Linked DNA regions of Macaca fascicularis. Each later gene encodes a partner of the first gene's protein in a complex. Links are inferred from orthologs where the notes say so. Each region holds a gene or a part of one and is shown on either strand. Other genes may lie near its edges.

The links. The genes of interacting proteins can lie anywhere in the genome.
Region 2: the proteins of NME5 (region 1) and DYDC2 are in contact, whole or in part, in a cryo-EM structure (PDB 8X2U), measured with the Mus musculus proteins. The link is inferred for Macaca fascicularis from reciprocal best matches to the Homo sapiens genes NME5 and DYDC2. Residues at the interface, in NP_542368.2 of Mus musculus: Arg140, Ala145, Val146, Ile147, Ile151, Pro152, Ala156, Ala157, Tyr160, Ile161, Tyr164, Val165, Thr168, Leu169, Leu173, Leu176, Cys177, Lys180, Pro181, Asp183, Pro184, Tyr185, Leu186, Leu188, Ala189, Asp190, Leu192, Met193, Asn196, Pro197; in NP_001347537.1 of Mus musculus: Asp2, Tyr5, Leu6, Cys9, Phe10, Gly13, Leu14, Leu18, Val21, Ala22, Arg23, Val24, Arg25, Pro26, Asp28, Pro29, Ile30, Glu31, Leu33, Ala34, His35, Leu37, Tyr38, Tyr40, Arg41.

The regions. Positions count from the first base shown.
Region 1 is NC_088380.1:144,614,488-144,618,006, forward strand, and holds part of NME5 (nucleoside diphosphate kinase homolog 5), read right to left. Parts: intron 3,136-3,519; coding exon 3,035-3,135; intron 1-3,034. UniProt on the Homo sapiens protein: Functions as part of axonemal radial spoke complexes that play an important part in the motility of sperm and cilia. Does not seem to have nucleoside diphosphate kinase (NDPK) activity.
Region 2 is NC_088383.1:66,445,444-66,448,962, forward strand, and holds part of DYDC2 (DPY30 domain-containing protein 2), read right to left. Parts: intron 1,560-3,519; exon of another isoform or gene 1,476-1,559; intron 828-1,475; 5' UTR 819-827; coding exon 672-818; intron 316-671; coding exon 193-315; intron 1-192.

The DNA of each region.
Region 1 (3,519 bases):
CTCAACCTTCTGAGTAGCTGGGATTACAAGCATCCACCACTATGCCTGGCTAATTTTGTATTTTTAGTAGAGACAGGGTTTTACCACACTGGCCAGGCTGGTCTCGAACCCCTAACTTCAAGTGATCCATCTGCCTTAGCCTCCCAAAATGCTGTGATTACAGGTGTGAGCCACTGCGTCCAGCCAGCATTACTTTTTTCAAGGGTTAAGAACATGTCTTTGGGCCGGGCGTGGTGGCTCACGCCTGTAATCCCAGCACTTTGGGAGGCCGAGGCGGGCGGATCACAAGGTCAGGAGATCGAGACCATCCTGGCTAACACTGTGAAACCCCGTCTCTACTAAAAATGCAAAAAATTAGCCGGGCGAGGCGGCGGGCGCCTGTAGTCCCAGCTACTCGGGAGGCTGAGGCAGGAGAATGGCGTGAACCCGGGAGGCGGAGCTTGCAGTGAGCCGAGATCGTGCCACTGCACTCCAGCCTGGGCGGCAGAGCGAGACTCTGTCTCAAAAAAAAAAAAAAAAAAAAAAAAGAACATGTCTTTGAATATCTTGATAACTTGCTTGAATGAATTGTCGTATAAAGTTTTGCACATAGTTGTTGATCGACTGCTAAGTAAGAGGACGCTCATACCGCAAACTCTCAGTACTTGCTCCAAAGAACTTCACAGCAAAAGATCTGCAATGTGCTAAGTAATTAATGATTTTATATTTATCCTACAACTTGCTGCTTCTCAAATGTCTAACTAGATCTCTAAACTCATGCCTAGAGGATTAATTTAATGAGTAAAATCAAAGGCAACTGAAAATAACAGTTGGCTGGGCACAGTGGCTCACCCCTGTAATCCCAACAGTTTGGAAGGCAGGAGGGAGTATCGCTTGAGCCCAACAGTTCCAGACTGGCCTGGGCAACATGGCAAAACTCTGTTTCTACAAAAAACTTGAAAAACTAGCCGGGTGTGGTGGTGCATGCCTGTGGTTCCAGCTACTCCAAAGGCTGAGGTGGGAATATTACTTGAGTCTGCAAGGCCAAGGCTGCGGTGAGCTGTGATTGTGCCACTGCACTCTGGTCTGGGCAACAGAGTGAGATTCTATCTCCAAAAAAAAAAAAGCGAAAAGAAAGAAAATTACAGTTTAGGAATATAATCCAATGAGTAAGAAGAGCTTTCAAATATACCTTCTATTTAAGATAAAATGAATTTTTATCCTGTTTTATTTAAAAGCTAGAGAGAAGTCAGGCGTGATGGCTCATGTCTATAATCCCAACATTTTGGGAGGTAGAGGCAGCAGTATTGCTTGAGCCCAGGAGTTCAAGACCAGCCTGGGCAACATAGTGAGATTTCATGTCTATAGAAAATACAAAAATTAGCTGGGGCTGGTGATATGCACCTGTGGTTCCAGCTACTCAAAGGCTGAAGTAGGAGGATACTTGAGCCCAGGAGGTTGAGGCTGCCATGAGTTGTGACCATGCTACTGCACTCCAGCCTGGGTGACAGAGTGAGACTCCATCTCAAATAGATAAATAAATAACAGAAGCTAACAAGCAAAAGTCTAATTCACTTGTAAGACTAATATAAAGTGCTACCACATTAAAAAGACCTCTCGCTGGGCACGGTAGCTCACTCCTGTAATCCCAGTGTTTTGGGAGGCTGAGGCAGGAGGACTGCTTTGAGAAAAAATATACAATTTTAAAACTAGTTTTTGTTTCCTTGTTTAAGAATCAGGGACTTTTCAGACTGTACAGAAAGGAGGGAAGCAGGTCTTCCCTTGGGAGGATGACTAAAAGGCCAGTGGAGGAAAGTTGTCAGCCCATTGTCAGGTCAGCATCAGGCCTTTACCAAGCCTGTTGGCACTAAAAAGTAACAGATCAAGTACTCAAAATGTGAAATATATTTATTTTGAATTTAGAAATTCAAACAACAGTGATACTATTGTATCACATCAGTTATTCAAAAAAATGTGAAATCTCCCAAAAAATAAATAAATAAATAAAGAACTTTTAAATCTCCAAGACAGTTTTCAGTTTTATTTGAATTAATCTCCAGTGGAAAATACTGAGGAACAGATCTAAATGACTTAGGGAAAAATAAGTCATAACAGGAAAAATAACATACTAAAACAAATTCAAAATTTTGCTCAATGCTTTGCATTTTTTCCTTATAACAAATATCACCAAATTTTATTTCTGCTCTAAAAATATTAAAAACAAACCAAAAACCTCAGTGTTCTTCCTCATATGTCCACTTCTCAAAGGCTTACAACTTCTCTAACAGTAAGGAAACAAAAAAAGGGACTAATTATTAATTTCTCAATTGCAGGAGACTTTGTTAGGCAAACAGTAAATTGTTAGAGAAGATGGTAAATCAAATGTAGTTTCCAAGAGAGATTATTTTTCTCATGTGTCACAAACTCTACTGAACCTTTCAGGATAACTAGAAAGAACTGTAACACAGAAGAATATGTCTAATGCAAGAGAAAAGATAGAAAAAAGAAATTAAGCTGGGTGTGGTGGCTTACACCTGCAATCCCAGCACTTCGAGAGGCCAAGGCAGGCAGATTACTTGAGCACAGGCATTTGAGAGTATCCTGGGCAACACGGTGAGACCCCATCTCTCCAAAAGATAAAAGAAAATTAGTTGGGCATGGTGGCATACACCTATAGTCTCAGCTACCTGGGAGGCTACAGTGGGAGGATCACCGGAGCCCTGGAGTTTGAGGCTGCAGTGAGCCAAGACTGTGCCACTGCACTTCAGCCTGGGTGACAGTGAGACACTGTCTTAAATTTTTTTTAATGTTAAAAATAGATAAATAAAAAAAATTAAACACTTCTCAAAAGTCGCTAGAGGGCACAATTTAGTTGTTAAGGAAATGTCAAGTTTTCCATTGTGGCTTCAAGTTTTTAAGTAACAACAACTTGAAAACCTAACAAAATATACTGGAAAAAAGTTATTTTATCTTCCTTCCCAGCTATATCCGCAAAATAAAAGAAAAAGCAAACAATAAGGAGATGCAGTTGACAAGTTAGTCATCTGTAACTCACCTTCAGGAAACATAAAATGTATTTCTCTTTCCGCAGCAGCAAAGTCATTACTCCCATGAAGTGCATTCCTTAGGTCATCTGTGCCATAAATTGCCCTTAGACTAAAAACAAGTTAGAGATGATGTTCATCCAGTCTGACATCTATTCCTTACTTTATATGCATGCATTCCACTTAAGAATTTTACAAAAGCATTGCCACTTCTTACATATGAAAGCTTCACAATTTATGTCAAATTTAAGCTTAAATTTAAGCTTATCTATCTAGATAAGGATCAAATATATTCACGTCTGCAGGAGGAATACACTGGGAAAACAGGAGTTCTCTGGATAAAAACGTGGTGTTGTTTTGTAAGAAGTAAAAAAGCAATGCACATTCAAAAGTGCAAGAACTCAATATCTTATTTCCATACATTAGCAATAATGCTGAAAATTTGAATTTCTGTTCCTGTATTACCATTATTATTTTAACATACCATCCCAATTTT
Region 2 (3,519 bases), on another chromosome or scaffold:
TTAACATCTCCTTTTTTCATTAACAAAGATTGTCAATAACATTGGTTTATATGCAAATATGTGAATACAGAGTGAAAATCAGGCTAAAGGGATCCTTAATGTGCCTTGGGTGGGGACTGGGCTGACTTGTGGCTTTCCTGGATTCCATGTTGGGATGTGTGCGGCCACCCAAAGCTGAGTCCTTCTCCCTACCTTGTGACACTTTTCACAGTTCTGTTGAATCTGATACTCTTCCTGTTTCAGCATTTCTGTCATTTCCATTTCCTTGAGGCTACTGTCATATTCCTCCTGCAGCTGGATCTTCTCTTCCCTATTCTGGGGTGAGGTGACAGAGTCGAATCAGGTCAGCACCCAGGGAAGCCTTATAAATGGGGCCCCCTCACTGGAGACTGATCTGGGCTGTGGGCCTTTTGGGCCTGTTGAGTTTCCTCCTGTAACTAGCTTTAGCCTGCTAGTAGTTACAAACCCTTCAACTCCACAGCTCCTCTGAGTTGAAGCCCCACTCCTCTCAGCCCCCAGGATCCCCATGCTTCAGGGATATCTAGATCTAAGAGCAAGTCAAATTAACCAAGAAATTCCCCAGGCCAGCTCCAGAATCCTGCCTTGTGTCTTGGCTTTCAAATTACTCTAGGAAAGCTGGGCCCTCCCTAAGTCGCAGTGCCCATACACACCTTTTCTTTTGCTTTCGCTGTTTTCTCATAATGATAAAGCCAGTGAGCCAGGTATTCTATTGGGTCACTGGGCCGAACCTTCGCCACCTCTGCCAGTGCCTGGGCCAGGCAATTTCCAAAGCACCTCTTTAGGTAGTTAGTTTCCATCCTGGCAGCCTGGAAAACAAAGACGCGTTATTTTATTAACTTAGTCTGATATTAAAAATAGACACATTCTAACCAATTCAGATTTATTTCAGGATAAATATGAGATGTTTCTGGATCACACCCTTCCCAAAAGAACCAATGAACACTTACTTGCTCTTATATTCAAATGGACTTTTTCTAAAGTTCTCCAGCTGCACTAGGTCAGACAGTGTGGGTCCTAGGGTTTACCAGGTTTGCGAGGAGGTTGGTACTTTGGTGGTAAGGGTGGCTAAGGCCTCCCCTTACCCACACATTTTTGCTCTTGAGTAGAGAAAATTTAAAGGAGCAGGCAGGAGGTCCTGGGGAGGGGCTCTGAGCACCCAGCAGGCTGTGCTATTGTGAGGTAGGAGGCTACAGTCATCTATGACATAGATAAGATAGGCTCATTTATTTCACAAGGGACCACGGAAAGGCACTGGGGAGAAGAGAGAGGGAAAATGTTGGTGCTACAGCTACTGCTTGTCAGGAGCTCTGCCAGCACCTGATATAATGCTCCATTCTGTATTACTTAGGGATTTACTATTCATCATATTTCAAGAGCTGGAGGCAATGTAGCCCAAACTTAGGAGCAGCAGGGAATTGTGGCAGTAGGAATGCACATTCTGGAATAAGACAGACCAAGTTCCAGTCCTGATTCTGCCACTTATTAGCTGTGTGATCTTTAGCAAGTCACTCAGTCTCTCTCAGCCTCAGTTTTCTCATCTGTAAAATAAAAGTAACAAAAGTATGTAGCTCACAATAATTAGATTAGAGGTGATAATAAACACACACCAGGCACTTAGCCAGGCACAGAGTAACTGCTTATTACACTATTCAGTGGAGGATTGTGCCATGAAATGACCTAGGACCTGGCCTCCTCCTGACGGATTCCACATTCTTGAAGTTGACACATTTGAATTCCAAAAGAGTCCGGTGAATAATAAAAGCTTAGATCTAGCCTTAACATTTTCTGGAGGCATTTTTCAATTTTCCCCCCTACTCCCCATTTTCTAGCTTAAGGAAGGAAAAACAGATAGATATCCATATCTATCTTACGCATATCTATCTTATGGATAGAGAAAAAAATATTTCCTAGCTCTCTCCACTACAAGGGCCTTGAAACCAAAACACTTCAGTAGCAATGAGCACACTGAGCATATAAACCTTGCTTGTAAATAGCCTTCGTCACTTAAGAGGAATCAGGGTGGCCGGGCACGGTGGCTCAAGCCTGTAATCCCAGCACTTTGGGAGGCCGAGGCGGGTGGATCACGAGGTCAGGAGATCGAGACTATCCTGGCTAACATGGTGAAACCCCGTCTCTACTAAAAATAAAAAAAAAAAAAAACTAGCCGGGCGTGGTGGCGGGCGCCTGTAGTCTCAGCTACTTGGGAGGCTGAGGCGGGAGAATGGCGTGAACCCGGGAGGCGGAGCTTGCAGTGAGCCGAGATCACGCCACTGCACTCCAGCCTGGGAGACACAGCGAGACTCCGTCTCAAAAAAAAAAAAAAAAAAAAAAAAAAAAAAAGAGGAATCAGGGCTCCTTGGAGAAATGGCTGATTCCAAGGCTGGGGCAGGACAAGTCTAATGGGCCTGGAACATTTGGTTTTGCCAGAAAGTAAGAAAATTCTGAAAAATACAATGGGTGGGGACAGAGAAGCCAGCTTGAAGGGGCTCCTACTAGTCAAATCTGGGGCAGTTTAACCATTAAAATAAATAGTGACTGTAATGGATTATAAATTACAGAATAAAATAAGACTCCATGAGTCCATATGAGAATATATACATAGATTAAGAAGGGAGAAGGCAAAGTTCTTGTTAAAGTAGAATGCCAACTAATAAATGTGGGGAAAATAATGGAGTTTTAAAAAACTGCCATTTCCTCACCACCATAGTATAATTGAATCAAAGCAGAATCATCAATGAGTCAATGAGTGCTAAACCTGGGTGAACATTTGACAAGGAATAAGATATATGCATAGTCTCAAAGTTTCTTCTCACAAATTAAGTATTAATTCCAAAGGAAATACAGAAATTTTACAGTGGCAAAACCTGGCCAACAAAACCTTAACCAAGTAATCACAGTAAATATCACCAATAAAGGAACAAAGTGACATCAAGTGCCTCCTGATGGGATGTACTTCTTATGGTACATAAAACATTTCCATGGATTCCTGTCTAAAATGCAGTATTTGAATGTAATTGAAGAAACAGCAAATAAATCCAAAGCAACTACCCTGTACTCTTAAAAATGTTGAGGTTATGAAAAAAAAAAAGAGTAATTGTTATAGATCAAAGGAGACTGAACAGCTATAATAACTACATGTAACACATGATCCTAGATTGGGCCTGGGCAGGAAAAAATAATTCAGCTGGGCATGGTGGTGCATGCCTGTAAACCCAGCACTTTGGGAGGCTGAGGCAGGAGGATCACTTGAGCTCAGGGGTTTGAGACCAGCCTGGGCAACATGGCAAAACCATGTTGCCCATGCTTTTGTATTCCACAAAAAATACAAAAATTAGCCAGGTGGGATGGCACACACCTGTAGTCCCAGCTACTTGGCGGCAGGGGGTGGGGAGGTGCACGGGGTCTTACGGTGGGAGGATCACTTGAGCCCAGGAGGTTGTGGCTGCAATGAGTTGAGATCTCACCACTGCACTCCAACCTGGGTGACAGAGTGAGACC